2 linked regions of the Coturnix japonica genome follow. The protein of the gene in region 1 purifies or fractionates together with the protein of each later gene. This does not show direct contact. Links are inferred from orthologs where the notes say so. Each region holds a gene or a part of one and is shown on either strand. Other genes may lie near its edges.

The links. Proteins that work in one complex are often made in the same cells at the same time.
Region 2: the proteins of USP22 (region 1) and SUPT7L purify together in Homo sapiens (affinity purification with mass spectrometry; 3 studies listed by BioGRID and IntAct, with this or other methods). This does not show direct contact. The link is inferred for Coturnix japonica from reciprocal best matches to the Homo sapiens genes USP22 and SUPT7L.

Annotation. Positions count from the first base shown.
Region 1 is NC_029529.1:4,591,873-4,599,815, forward strand, and holds the start of USP22 (ubiquitin carboxyl-terminal hydrolase 22), read left to right. Parts: upstream 1-2,958; 5' UTR 2,959-3,039; coding exon 3,040-3,165; intron 3,166-7,943. UniProt on the Homo sapiens protein: Deubiquitinase that plays a role in several cellular processes including transcriptional regulation, cell cycle progression or innate immunity.
Region 2 is NC_029518.1:24,842,677-24,850,442, forward strand, and holds the start of SUPT7L (STAGA complex 65 subunit gamma), read left to right. Parts: upstream 1-3,732; 5' UTR 3,733-4,066; coding exon 4,067-4,479; intron 4,480-7,766. Other genes in the region: SLC4A1AP (kanadaptin), read right to left, coding at 852-912, 1,573-1,695, 2,100-2,286, 2,955-3,470.

The DNA of each region.
Region 1 (7,943 bases):
TCAACATTTATATTCCATTGTCATTTGGGGGTAAGCTCTAATTAGCATCAGCAACAGCGCTTTAATATCAGAATTCCTCCAAGAGATGCAGGAGGGATTGAAACAGTTTTCTGCCCCCAGAGGCAAATCCTTTCCCAAGTCATCTGCTGCACCAAAAGGTTTCATTCTAGAGATGTTCCCAAGCCAGAGTAAATTAAACTACAGCAAACTTATAAACGGTTGTGTGTGTGTGTGTAGCAAGCAAGCCCTGATTTAGCAAATTAGTACATGATGGAATGGTGTAACTGTTTTCTGTTCCTATCTTCGAACTGCTGTGCTTTGTCGCTGTGCTGTCTTTACTGTATGGGGGGTGCATGGAACCTCAGGAAGCAGGAATGCTTGAATGTTGTAATTGTTCCTGAACTGGCCAGAGAGAAAAAATAGTATGTTCCAAAGGAAGTATTTATTTGGGAGGAGAACAAATTGCAGGTGTTCTCCCTTCTTAAAATGAAACAATTATGCTTTATAGAGACGTGATTCCTTTCATTTCTGAATAAGACAAACACTGCTGCACCTTACGTGGAGTAAACATGATGACTCTGCAAGAAAGAGCTGCAAGGAAACCTCAGTGAGAATTTCAGTGTCTGCAGGGATTTGAACACTTGTATTGTCTTTTTGATATCCTGTTTCTTCAGAGAGATGGACTTAAATTTCACAGGCAGAATCTCTCTCTTTTATCTTTATCTCCTGTTTTGATGTGGTAGCCATGGAGAAAAGCCCGAGATGGAGTTGTTGCAGAATAAAGAATAACCCTCTACTTGGATTTAGACTGTAGTAATATTGGGGGTTTTCTTTGATTGGAAAACACTCAGGTTCATTAGAATAAATACTACATACTATTAGGGCATCAATTACCCATCCCATTCATTTAGATACGTCTTGCCTTAAGATTAACATCCCTCTGTGCTGTGGGATGTTTGAGTGGCTCTCACAAGGCAGGGGATGGGTGGCTGTACCTCTTTCTTTTGACACGGTGACTTGTTGTGTTTGTGCTCTTCCTCACCTTCCTCTTACTGCCAGCAGAACATGCTGTGGATAGACAGCAAATAGTTACCAAATAGTAAAGCTGTGCTGCTGTTCCTTGGTTTGCCTCACAGCACGTAGCTCTGTTACAGGTCTCAGTACACAGCAATGCTGGTGCTCTGCTGCAGCTTTAGTCTGAGGGCATCAGCTCAGCTCTTCCCCCCAGTCCTGCATCCCCCCTTTCCCTTGTCACTGAGCCTAAGCCTCACATTACCAGCTAGGCTGTTCTACCTTTGTTATCGAGTTCTGTACATTGAAGCAATAGGGTGGGATAGCAGGGAGGACCTCATACAAACCTGCCTGGTATTCCTGCTGTAAGAGGGTGTCAATGAGTGTGTACCAACACTGCATTGCTGCCAGGGTTGTGTAAGAAGCTGCTCCGTTCCCATCTCCTCCTCTTGCCTCACTCCACTCTTATGCAACCCCACAGCATGTGGAGCACACCAGAGCCGAGCACGGATTCGAGCATTTAGCACTATATTCTCACTGCCTTGTAGGGCTATTGATAGGGAACGCCACATTAAGGCTCTTTCTGGTGCTGGGGTTCTTTTTTAAGGGTGTTTTCGTTCCTTCTCAGTGCTCCCAATGGGAGCACAACACAGCGCGGCCTGCTGCACCACAGCGCTGCCCACCTCGAGCCGCCTCATCTCAGTGCAGGCCGCTGCGGCCTCACAACCCTCAGCCGGGGCTGAGGTTCCCGTGTCGGGCCTCTACCAGGCCGGGGGGGCGGCTCTGCCCCGGCTGCGACCCGGCCACCCCGCCGCCCCTCAGGAAATCACTGAGGTAAGAGCGAAGCGGCCGCGATCAGCGGATGTGACACCACCGCTGCCCCCATAGCCTAGGCCGCTGGGTGGAACCGCCCCTCAGCCCACCGCAGCCAATCCGCTCACAGCTTGGAGTGAGATTGACGGCCGGGATGGCCAATTGTTGCGAGGCATTCTTAGCGAACGTGCCGCCCTTTCTCTCTATTGGCCGGATGCCCCGTCAATCCGATAAGTCGTTCCCGCCCCTTTCCGGCAGGGGGAAATACTGGGGAGGAAGGGTGGAGGGAGAAGGGGGGAGGGGAGAAAAGAAAATCAACCAATGAGACGCCAAAGACGGGCGCTTCGGCAGCAGAGTGACAGGCGAGCGAACCAATGGCAGCGCTTCTTTCCTCCCTCTCCGTCTCCCTCCTCGCGGGTGGCGGGGCAGTGGGGGGGGTGCACCTACCGCCCCTTCCCCGTTGGTCTGTCCCACTCCGGGCCGGGCTGAGTGAGCGGCTCGGAGCAGCGCACAGCGCGGGCGGAGGGGGGGAGTGCGGGGAGAGCGGAGGAGGAGGAAGGAGACGGCGAAGGAGGCGGGGGGGGGAGGTTTAAAGAGACGAGGAGACCGAGGCGGGGCCGGCCGGCTGCGGAGAGGGAGCGGCGGCGGGCGGAGACTCGCCCTTCCCCACACACACACACGCTCCGCTCGCACCGGAGCCGCCGCTGCCGCTTCCAGGCCCACCCCCCCCCCCCGCTCTTCTTTCCCTTCCGCCTTCTATGAAGGTAGAAGGGAGCGTCGGCCACTCCGGGGGCGGCAGCGGCCGCTCTCTCAGCCGCCTCCTCCTCCTCCTCCTTCGCCTCAGAGCGAGCCCCATCTTTGTGTGCGAGGCAGGGAAAGAGAGAGGGAGGGGAGCGCGCCGCCCGCCGCCTCCAGCGCCGCGCTTTGTTCGGAGCCGGGGGCTCTATGTGCCCGCCGCCCCCCGGCTGCCCGCGGGGACGGAGGCGGCGGGAGGCGGCGTGAGGAGGGGCCGCAGCCCCTGAGGGCGGTGGCGGCGGGGAGGGAGGGTGGGGTGGCTGTGGTGGCTGTGGGGGGCGCGCGGCCGCCCCGTGTCGTGCCCGCGCCCGTGCCCGCGCGGCCGCCGCCGCCGCCGCCGCCGCCGAGGGGGGGAAGGGGCCGGCTCGCTGCCCGCCGGCCCGGCCCGTCGGCGGGAGGATTGATGTGGGGGGGTCTGACATGAGTCCGCCGGCGGCCGGGTGCTGCCATGTGACCGGCTTCAAGGTGGAGAACTGGAAGCAGAACCTGAGGGCCATTTACCAGTGCTTCGTGTGGAGCGGTTCGGCCGAGACCAGGAAGCGCAAGGTACCGGGGGCGGCCCCATCCACCCCCCTGCTCTCCCTTCCCCTCCTCTCGTCGGGCCCGCGGTTCCCGGCACGCGGTCGTGGTGGTGGTGGGGGTGGGTGGGAGGTGGGATGTTGGCTGCGGGTGCCCCCGCGGTGCGGGCACGGCGCTGGGGCTCAGAGCCGCCACCTGCCCCGCTCCGCCTTGCCCCCTTTCTCCGTCCCCGGGGCCGTTCCGCAGCGCCGCCGCCCCCCGGAGGTGCGGAGCCCTGTTCCCGGAACGCGGCGGAGGCTGCGGGGAGGGGAGGAGGGGGAGGGGAGAGCCCCGGGGCGATGGGCACGGCCCGACCCGCGGCGGGGCTTTGTGCCGCAGGGAGGGGTGGGGGAAGGAGGCACAATGGCTGGGAGAGGCTGGGGGGAGTTGACGAGGGCATTTCTGCTGTTTATTTATATATATATATATATGTGTGTGTGTATATATATTTTTTTTCCTTTGAAGATCGGTGGTCATCCGGTTGCAAAATGGGATTCCGGGTAGAGTGGGGGGTTGGGGGGAGAGCAGGAACTGAGTGCGGAGGGCACGGAGGGGGATAGAAGGAGCGAGCTGGGGGGTGCGAGCGTTCGGGGCACGCAGTGCGCAGCGCAGCACCGGAATCCGCTGCGATGAGGACAGACGTGACCGTCCCACCTGTGTGCGGCAATCCACACAATGCTGAGGAGCCCGAGCAGAGCCTCCCGCTGCCCTCCGTGCCATCAACTAGTTTGTACTAATAAGTGACTTTGCAGATTTCTATCGGTGGTGATGGTAATGGCCGAGGAGGGGACTGCAACAAACAGTGCGGCTGAACTGCGGGCTGGGACGGCCTGTTGGGCTGTGGGTAACTCTGGAGCTGTAGGTGTGTGCTGCAGGGCTGAGCGGCCCCTCTGTGTGAGCTTTGTGTTCTCTGGGAGTCCCCTGTTTTATTTCAAGGGAGGAAAAAATGGAATCCGAAGGAAAATGATCAAGTTAGTGGCTTGCTTGAGAGCGCTGCAATGTACAGCCAAAGTTGTGTTCTGCATCCCTAACGCACTGCAAGACAGTGTTATGGAGTATGTTAGGCAGAATTGGGTTTCATTTAACCTTTGGTATGTCAACATACGGATGGGTTTATGGTACAGCATACGTGGGGCTTAACATACGTGTGCTGCTGAAGGAGTGGGGTAAGAAGGTGTCTCAGAGGAATATTGCTTGTGTTACATGGCAGAAGGAAACCCAGAATTCATCAGTAAGATGAACACTTCAGCTTCCATTATTTTGAATGAGGAGCATCCCTTACAGCCATGGGCTGCTGTTGGTTGGGTTTCTTCTGGAATCTATCACTAGTGATGCATGTATTTATTGCCAGCTGTTTTTTAAGCCATAGTAATTGCTTGCTGTAATCAATCTGTGCTCCCACCTTTACCTCTTTGTAACCCGTGACACTCTTAGGACAGGCAGGCTCATAAGGCAGAACGGGGTGGTTGCGAAATCATCTCATCGAAAACATCCTTTTACCAGATACGTGCTAAAAATGCCTTTTGTTTTTAAGCAGATTTCCAGTCTGGAAATAGTTGGATTCTGAGTTCTACCAACCTGAGATGTGTGGGAGTAAATCATCACATACAGGGAAGTGTTTTGGGTACCTGCATTTGGTGGTGAATTCTTATATTCATAAAGGTAGAAGGAAGTATGGGAACAGTTATGGTGCTTACCTGCTGTACATGGATGTGAATCCTTCCCCTGCAGGATTTTTCCTTGCTGTCCATGTGTATCCTATATTTACATCTCAAACTTCATAGCAGCGTTTTCTGTTTTCGGATACATAGTGGGATAACTAAAAGGCAACCCGTTGTCCTTTATATAAGATGATATATCGTCTTTTATATATATATACTGTGTGTATGTATATATAAGGAGCACAGCCCTGACGTGGTGATGGACCAGTTAATTCATGGTGAGAATTCTCATTCTTAGCTCTAATCAAAGCAATGAGGTCAAATAAAGGTTTGATAGAAGGTGATTCGCAATTTCTGTTCCAAAAACCAGGGGCGGTTGCATCCTTCATTTGGCACAGCAAACATTCACAAGATGTAGCTGATCATTAATGGAAGCATTGATGAATTTAACTGTTATTCAGATGAACCTAGCTGTAAAACAACAAGCAAACCCAAACGTTTGGGCTGTTGGTGCTTGGGAGCCAGATGTTAAATTGTTGGGTCTCTGGGTTGCTAATGTTCTATCCCTCCTAGGGCTGCCTTATAAATCCAGATAGCAGTAGGAACTGCAGGGGGCAGAAAGTGTCTGCTGCTCCTCTTTTACTTATACTGCTTTACTGCATTATGCTTTAGAAGACCATTTTGACACTGCTTGCTGCTTGCTATTTGTTTTTAATGCGTACCTTTGCTGAGAATAAGCCTTGATGAGCTGTAGCCTTCATTACAGCGTTCTTCACATCCAGAGTTCTTAATAAAATAGCTGCAAAGCGCTGTTTGTAGTCGGAAAGCCATTTCCTGTACCTGTATTTGAATTCCCAATCAGAAGGAAGAGGTAATTATGAGCGTACATTTGTTAATGCTGGAATTCTGGTGAAGGGTTCAGGAGTGTGTTTGCTTCCATGGGATTTCAGCTCTCCTACTGGTGTGTTGTTCTGCCTCCATCCAGGGGCTGAGCTGTAGCTTTGTGCCTGTACGTGCTGTTATAGGCAGAGCTTTGCTGTAGTGCGAATGTGCTGCTGCTGGTAAAGCCTAAAGGAAGTCAAAACCTGAGCATTGTGTTGTTGGAGGAGTGGAATAGGAAGAAGTCTGAAGGGCTGGTGTTGAACTTGTAATGGTGATCAGGAGCTAGAACCAGCTTTTGGCTCTTAGGTAGAGTGGCGTAAAATTGGGGTTGGTCATCTTGGCTTTGGGACTTTGACCAGTGACTTGATTTGTTTTATTTGTGATATAATGTACTGAATGAATACATAAATACAAGCTTTGCCGTCACCTTCTGTAGGTCATGGGCTTTACCTTGAGTGTTTTGATGGAGGAAAATCCCTCATGCTTAAGGACCTCTCATAGCATTACTTAGATATATATGAAACCACAACTTTCCATGCAGGAATTATGGACCAGACCGAAGATGATAAGAAGACACACCGCCAGCCCTGTTGGATCAGCTTTTTCCTTGAGTCACACTTGAAAAGCTTTGCTTATTGCTTTACAATTACAGATGAGAACAGTCGGTTTTGTGGTGCTGAACAGTTTCAGTTCTCCATCAGGGAGGGTTTGGACGTGTAGATGCATCGTTGTCTAGGAGTTAGTAAGTAATGGCTTCAGCACTTGAAGGGCTGATGCATTTACAGTTCAGTTCTGTCCTGCAGGACCACAAACCTCAAAGGAAAGCTCTGCCTGGTTCTGAGTGGTTCTTACTCTCACTGCTCAGAGAAGGTGCTCAATGATGTGAGTAATCTGGTGGTCATGAGTGCAGCCGTGATAGGGACAAGGTCCTATCTGAAATGTCAGAATGTTTGTTCTGTGCTTCTGACAGCAGGTCCAAGAGTAATGGGCTGTCAGGGGTTGTCTGTTCTGCTCTCCTTGGTGGTGGATGTATTCTAGGTTCTTCCCTCTCATGTCAGAAATTCTGTTGTTCTTCCATTATTCTTTGTTCACATGGACACTCTTAGGTATGAAGAAACATTTTTGTATGTAGGTGATGAGCTGCCTATAGATCTCTTCCTCATTCACATGTATGCACTTCTGACTTCACATGCATCCTTCTAATAATTCATTGAGAGTTAATTCATAGGTACCAGTAACTGGAATTACTTTGGTTCATTTTTTTTAATGTTTGAGGTGGGAAAAAACATCTCAACAAATAAATGCCGCATCATACTTATGACAGCAAGTATTGTGCTTCAGTCTACATTGATGCATTAAGCTCTTGCTAAGGTGACCTTTTGTTTGGAGAGTTTTGGGACTTCCTGCTGGGTGCCAGGTGAGGTGTGCTTGCGTTCAGCCTTGCCTTGCATACCTGTCCAGGAGCAGGGAAGTGTTGTTTAGGCAATATGCTAAGGGATGGGTAAGAACCTTACTAAGCTGTGTAGCCTTCTCAAACTCAGTATTTTAGTTTCTTAAGCTCAAACGTCCTTATTAATTTTTCTTTAATACTTCTAGCAAACGTCTGGATTACAAATCCTATGGAGGAGTCCAGGATTCAAGAAGCTCTTTTTCAGTTCCCTACTTCACTTTGGCCGCCATGCGACCTATGGTTCACTCAGGAGGGATGTTCTTGCCATGTTTCATTGGGACTGCCTTCTCCCTGGAGGCCCATAAGGAGTGTCAGAGTCAGCTGCAGCCTTCACTGTTCAGCAGTTCTCATAAATGAGCAACCTTCTGTAGTTCTTAGCCTCTGAGGAGTGAGGAGGTCCTTAAACCTGCTGAAGGTAATGCTCTCTTTCCTCTAGATGTGCAGGCGCAGTCTGTGGTATGAGAGATACCCAGGCATTAGGTTTGCACACATGGGTTTCTGTTGCGCTGCATTTATGTCTCTGTCATTGGAGAAGACTGCAATACAGGTCCTTGCTCCTACTGGTGCTCATCCCTGTTGTGTGTCCTACAGCATGGTTAAAGAAACATTTGATTTCTTCACCAAAGATCAGGGATTCATCTACTCTATGGTCATGAATAGTAAGTTCTGAGCTGTGGGCTTGGAACCATCAGGACTTATAGAATACTTACTTGTCTCTCTTGCTCTGGGATCAACACAAGCAGTCTGGTACAAAGGTCATGGAGATCCCTATT
Region 2 (7,766 bases), on another chromosome or scaffold:
AATACTTTATGCCATATTGAAACAGTTTCCTTAAGAAACAATGAGATATTGTACCTACCCACCTGAGACTTATCTCGCTTACTTCTCACCTTCTCCTGCCTAGTAGGAGAATGACGTTACTGGCCAGTGGAAGGGATTCAACAAAAACTACGTTATACCATCAAATAACCAAACTGGGGTGCACAGTAGAATAAATGCTTTTTTCCATCTTCTTTTCCATTAGGAATTAAAACACTGTCTCCTAGTTTCTTGTCTTGCATTTCAATTTCATATATTTCTCAAAACAAGGGGAACTGAGAGAACCTGGTGTATGGGAAATTGGTAATCACAGCCTGAACCTCTGATTAATCAGCTGAGGCAAGTGTCAGGTCAGCTGTGGGAGCACAGGAGAGAGTAATTTAGCTGTGCTCCTGGAAGGGGTGGAGCTTGACTCCACCTCCTCTAGACCTCATTTAAGGGATGACCACCACTAAGGCAGCATCTCTTGGAGACTGCTCCCTGGTGGAGATTGCCTCAGTGTTTCCTGGCAGACCGAAGGCATCCATATTGGTGAGTTTCCCTTGTAAATAACCTTTTGGATATTTACTACCATCTTTACATTATTGTCACCATACACCTGGTGTCATGTTTTCTCAGTGTTCATCTCTTAGTAGTACCAAATGATAACTAACCAGAAAAAGGAGTTGACACTAAAGTAGACACTGATCCTTGACCTTTTTAGTATCAGTCCTTAAGCCTAATTCCAGCTGAATTCCTTGGCAAGTGTGATAGACAACTAGTTCCTTCAGCTTTTGTTGCTGAATTCAATGAAGCCAGTTTCTACATATGGAAGTGAATGAAGTTATACATACTTAACCCTGCATAGCCAGCTATTGTGCCCACGATCATCATATTCATACTCTAACTCTTCTCCTGGAGAGGGAAAAAAAAGGAAGTTGATGTAGTTAGCAAGAATGAAATAAGAAAGTATAATCTTTAGAGCAGAGAAAGTCTGATGTGATCTTCAATTGATAATAAGCTCATTTGGACATTTTCCACAATCAAGGTTTTTTTTCAGATCAAGGACCTTTAAGTGACTTGTTTGGTAAAACATATTTCAAAGAAAAAGCAATCTTGCACCTGTAGATATAAAAGTAAATAATACTGAGGAAGTGACAGTTTGCAATTTGGATTCACAAATACTATCTCAAAGATTAATTTTTCACATTTAAAAAACACTTAAGTCTTCTGTAAGTTTTGCTAGCTACCAATGGAAGCTTACGTCAATTCATTGTCTTTCAATACTTTCCAATACTTTCCAGTTCTATCTTCTGAATAGCGCTATCTGCAATTGGATGGTTTAGGACTTTTCAATAGCTTCAAAAGATGGATGTGGTTTGAGTGCCACTCCAGAGCCACACAAGGTGCTCTCTGCAGCCTCCAGATTACAAGTTAGAAATTAAATAACCACCAAAACCCTGACAAAACAAAAAGCCCCACCTATAAAGTTTTTGCTTTCGCACCTTAATTCCCAGAGAAAAATAGGAAACACCAAACTCTACTAAAGAAAAATAATCTACAAGAAAGAAGTACCTTCTCTGTCAAAAAAGCCCTGCAGAGCCTTCCTGGGATCTTTCATATAGAAGGCATCTTGTACATCCTGAAAGTCAATAGCAATAGGGTTTTCTTCAACCTCATCCTCCTCAGCATCCTCCCCTGGAAGAGCAAGTACAAACAAAGTGGTGAAAAGTTAGAATGAGAACACCAGGAAACAAATACAGTCATTTTGAAAGGAGCATCAGCTGTATCATCCTAAGATTATAACCTTTAATAGCTTCTGTTATAGCATGAACTATACACAGTTCCATGTTGCTTTTGAAGTTTAGACAAGCCCCCTTTTCCCCAGTTTTAGGAAAAAAACCCTCTATTGTTGTTCTCTCTCTGTTTTGCCTTCTCACAGAATTCCTATTTTTATAAAGAAATAGGCTGATCTGTAGTCAAAAACTTTCACTGGCTTTGGACACTTGGAAATCCAACTGGAATTTCAATGCCTGAGCTCACTGAAAACTCACATAAAAAGCTCCCAAGTTGTATCAGCTCATCTCTGTGTCAGTACTCACCCATTCCCCATGAGCAGCTCATATCAACGTTCTGACTGCCTTCATTTCCTTGCTCCTCCTTTTCATCTTCCTCATCAGAGTCGTCTCCCAGCATGGTCTTTTCCAGCTTTGCTTGCTGCTGCTTCCGCAGTGCCTTCAACTGTGTCACAGTCAGCTCCGACTCAGACTCCTGGTCCTCTTCAGGTCCCTATGTCACAAAGAGCAACTCTATGAGTGTTTCGGAATGAAAAAAAAAAACAACCTTGTCTTTTCAGTGGACATGCAAATTACAGACAGAAAGATAAACAGATCATAGTGCTCATGTAAAAGCTGAATTACTGGACTATTATAGCCTGCATGCTCGGATATATCAATTTCAGTGGCCAAAGAAGGGGGCAAAAAGAGATAAGCATTACTGTTTAGTTGAGGCACCTCAAGCACAGCTGTATTTAAAGGCAGACAGCAAGGATATCCACCAGTGCCACACAGAAGCACTTGAGGAACATGCAGCTACACCCTCTGAGTTAAACGGTCTGAGTGTTTCTAGACTCCTACCAATACAAGCTCTCTTTTGGCACAAGGAATCACAGAATGGTTTGGGATGGAAGGGATCTCAAAGTCCTCTCATTTCCAACCCCATACCATGGACAGGGCTGCTTCCATCATCACATGCTGCACAGGGCCCTATCCAACCCAGCCTTGACACCACTATGGATGGGGCAGCCCGCTCAGAGATGCACGTGCAGCCAAAGCACCCCACGTCTCAGAAGCATCTCCCACAAGCTCCAAGCCCTTGAGATTGGGCAGAGCCGCCCGAATTTCCCCGTGCGGCCCGGGGAAGCCGCTGTGCAGTGTCTGACCCTTCTCCCGACCCACCTGCAGAAGGAAGAGGCGGGAGCTGCCTCCGAAGCGCAGCCCGTGGCCCACCCGTACGCGGCAGTAGGTGCGAGGCGGCACCCGCGCCTTGTTGAGGAAGGTGCCGTGCGTGCTGCCCAGGTCGTACACGTAGAAGCCGGCATCGGCGTCGGGCCCGTCGGCGGCTCGGCCGCGGTACTGCAGCACGGCGTGGTGCCGCGACACCGACGGGTGCTCCAGGGCCAGCGCGCAGCCGGGCAGGCGGCCCACGAGGAACCAGCTGCCGCCATCCAGCCGCACCGAGCCCAGCAGCACGCCGCCCTTCAGCACCTCCAGCCCGTAACCGGCGTCAGCGGGCGGCCGGCTGCCCCACGGCGGCTCCTCGTAGCGCGGCGTCGGCGCGGAGGCGGCCGGACGGGGCGGCGCGGGGCTGGGGCTGGGTGCGGGGCTGGGCTCGCTGCTGTGCGGAGCGGGCAGCGGGACGCTCGGCCGCTTGAACTCGGCAGGCCGGCTGTCCGTTTCCATGGCCTCCGCCATCTTGTCGCGTCCGATCCTAAATTGGGTCCTCCGGGAACGAGCGCCGTCGGGGCTGTGGTTCCGGATGGTGGAAGGGGCTCAGCGCTGCGGTTCGCACCGTTGCTTCGACCACGGCTGTGGGCAGAGAGTGGGGTGAGAGCGGCAGGGGGCGGCGGGAGGAGCGGAGAAGGGCGGAGGCTGCAGCGGGAGCTCCGCACTCCTTGCGGAAGTGCGGCGGGAGCCGCGTTTGGCGACGGACCGGGGCCGTGCGGTACGGCGGGGTCGTGATCGAGGTGGGGCCGAACGTGCGGCCTTGTTCTCCGCCGGGTTCCCTGGCACCAGGGCGGGACTGGGGCTGCGCTGCGCTGCTTAGAAGTCGTGCCCCCCTCGCTGCTGCTTTGCTTTCTTGTTCCCCCTCCTTAGGGGAGGCAGCTGTGCTGTCTTGAAAGCTGCGTTTCTCACGGTGACTTTGGAAGGGTTTTCTTGACATCAGTTATTTGCTCGTTTCCGAGGCCAGCACCAGTTTGTTGCTGCCCAAAGCCAAGAGCTTCTCCCCGCAGCTCGTCCTGCTGTGTCTGGGTGCCTTCCCTGCACTCTGAGGACAATACTGTGTTAAAATGCTGCGTTACTGGGGTGAGATCCCGGTGCCATCCAACCAGGCCAACCGCAGCTCTTTCGACCTCCTCCAGCGTGAGTTCCGCACGGTGGAGGTTCAGGACCCTCCTCTGCACCAGCCGTCAGCCAACAAACCACGGCCCACCACCATGCTGGACGTCCCCTCCGAGCCCTGCAGCCTCACCATCCACACCATCCAGCTCATCCAGCACAACCGGCGGCTGCGCAGCCTCATCGCCATGGCCCAGGCACAAAATCAGCAGCAAGCGGAGGGCATCAAGACAGAAGACAACGAACCTCTGCCCTCTCGTCCGGCCTCCCCACCTCTTCCTGATGACCTGCTTCCTCTGGACAGCAAGCCCCCCAAAATGCCATTCCAGTTGAGGCACAGTGACCCAGAGAGCGATTTCTACAGGTATGTGTGGTATTTCCTTGTTTCTTTTCAAGTTGGGTATTAGGAAAAATTTCTTCTCGGAAGGAGCAGTGAGGTGCTGGAACAAGGCTGCCCAGGGAGGTGGTAGAGCCATCACCATCCTTGAAGGTGTTGAAGGTGTGGATGTGGCACTGAAAGATATGACTAGTGGGCATGGTGATGGTGGGTTGGTGGTTAGACTAGATGACCTTAGTGGACTTTCCAGCTTTATGATCCTATGAATCCTGGCTGCAGGAAAGCTGAGTGTTTTTAAATATATGTGTTGCTTTGTCCGTTCACTAAGGCTGATGAATTGTGTGTAAAGAATAAAGCAGGCCTAGGAACAGAAAGGTTGAGATGCACACAACATACAAGTTGTTTAAAACAAATGTGTCTTTGCTTTCTATCCATAAAATGCAGATGTATAGTGCTGATTTCTGCACTCAGCTTAATGTTTGTGAACAGTTTTGCCATCTTCAGTGTTCTTTTGAGAAAGTTAGTTATTGACTGCAAAGTCTTTTGTATTTAGGTCACTTACAGCTAGACTGTCTGTGTTCTCACCATTCAGAAGATACACAACTGGCTGTTGGCCCATTATCTTTAGGTTCTGAGATTATGCTTTGCTAATTACTGCTTGTAAGATCTCTGTGCCCAAAGATTCACGGTGCTGCCATCTCATCCTACTGTCAGTGTTTGTGGTCTGGTCACATATGGCAGTGAGTGCTGGTGAAGGGAGTTCCCGTCTCTCCAATGCTGGCTCCACCAGCCATGGGCTTGAGGAAATAGAAAGGAAGGTTGCATTGCTCCTTTGCAGTCAATCTTTGTTTACACAGTAATGTCACCTCCTCCTTGTCAACCCTCTGATGTACACTACTCAAAGCTCTTCCCATCTATGGATATAGAAATCATTTCTGAGGCACTGTAAAAATGACAAACATCTTTCTAGCTTAGGCTGTAAACATCACAACAAAGATTTACAATTAAATGTTTAAATACGTATTATTCACACATTCATGTCCAATTTAACACTTGAATGGGGCATCGTATGTTTTAACCCTGGTGTTATTTATAAGGAGATGCTCTATTTCCTGCAGGATCTCACGGTTCCTCTTAGACTGTGCATTTAAATTCAGAGATTTATCCCCACAGTTCTTAAGGACTGATCCAATAAACTTGATATAGGAGAAAACAATACCTTTTATTTTTTTTCAGATGGGGAAAGTTTACATCCATAAAATATCATTGGTTAAATGCATCGGATCTTTAATGGCCTTTGTAGCATTCAGTGATTTTAACTGAAAGACATTCCTGTCGGTAACATAGTCTGTCTGGATAGCAGAGCCAGGCTTCAGTGCTGTTTTTAGAGTTACATGCTGCGCTGGTTTCAGCTGGGATAACAATTCAGATATTTCAAACTTGAATTCTTTTAGTATTCCTGGGTGGGTTGCCATCTGGTCCTGGTGATTTGCAACTGTTGATGTTACGGTTCTTGGAATACGCAATAGGGGATTAACATTTGATTTTGGCTGGTACAGAAACAGAAGGTAAGCCTAAATCATCGCCTTCATCCTTCTGGGATGGAATAAAGTGATTTGCCTGAAGGGGTGAAGGGATATTCCGTGAGTATGAATTAGAGCCCTGTGCCTCCTGCTCTTTATGGTATTACGGTTTGTAGAGCTGAAGCAGCCTTGTGTATCTTGCAGTCTTCTGTACTGACCTCCCTGGTGCCTTCAGCTTTAACTTTAAATTTTCAGTGGCCCTAACCGTGATTTTGGGGCCGCTTTGTACTTTTGCTGTCCCTTGGGTCTCTCCATGGTGCTGGTAAACAAATGTTATTTAGCAGTCAGCCACATGGGGGAGTTTAAGGACTAGATTGCAAAGTGTAGATAGGCGGTTTTGACATGAAATGCATTGTGGCCGACTGATTTGTTATGGGTCGTGGTATAGAGTCTAATTTAACCGTGTGCCTGCTAAACCAAACACGTTTCTGCTTTTCTGGGAGGCAAGCTTTTGGTTTCTGTTGCGTGTTTGCTGTTTTAATGCACGTACATGAAGAACAGCATCTATTCTTACAGGATTAAGAATAACGTTAAAAGATTTGTTAGTGCTTGTTTTTAGTGGGTAAAACAATTGAGGGAGGACTGTTCTTCTTGATAAAACACGATATTGCTTAGTTTTACAATACCTTTTAAGTGTCATTGTCAGAGTTACGTTGTTAGACTAAATGCATGTTTTAGTTCCATTTTCTTTCCTGATAACTTAGGTCTCGGAAGCAGTGTGTAGGTATGTTTGTTCATAGGAAGAAGAGTGGCCAGCCTGAATTAGACCACAAGTTTCTTCAATATAGCTATGTTCTCTTCTGTTTCCTCATTATTCATTTTTGTCCTTAGACCTCGCAGCCTTGTCTTTTATTTTGTTGATCAACAAAATCAACCCCTCGGTTGGCTTTTTTTTCTTCTCTTTTTTTGTAGTGCCTTCTGCCCCACACCATACCTGTAATCCCCGTTTCCACATCCCTTTTGTGGCGTGGAGGAGGCAGAACCTGATTTACTGCTATTTTGCAGTTGTTCTGATTTTTTTCAACCTCCTTCAGAAATCTGTGCCAGCAGCAGATTTAATTAGGACTCTGTTCCTTTTCTGCTTTTTTTTCAGGCTGTGGATAAGTATGTGCAAAAAAATCTTTGACTCTGGCACAGATCCCTGAGGAATGTCCTTAGCTTTCCAATGTACATCTCTTATATACTTGCTTGTCAGTGGCTTTGGAGGGCTGTGGCAGCCTTGTGAAGCAGGTTTTCCACTTACAGGAGCTGTCTGAAGTCTTTCTGAACGCATCTTATTTACTCATCTGTCCTCTAACTCTGTTCTTATCATTGCTGTGAATTTCCCTGATGTACCAGAATAGTACAGAATTACCAGCCTGTAGTTTTTCATTTTTCCTCCCCCCCAAATATATTGAAAGAGTGTTTTCACACTTTCTACCTACTGGTTCTCATGGGCTGTGGCACTTTAAAGCAAGAGGTGATTCACCACAGCTATTCAGATGTTTCATCCCTGAATTCCTCTAGTATTCCTGGATGTGTTGCCATCTGGTCGCAGTGATTTGAAACCGTTGACGTTACAGTTCTTGGAATACACAATAGGAGATTAACATTTGATTTTGGCTGGTATAAAAACAGAAGGTAAATTTAGAGCATAGTTGATGAGGAATAAGTAAGGAACTGTAACATACAACTGCCATTTCAACAGGAGATTCTTACCATAATATGGCTGATAGCTCTTCCTTCCTCTGT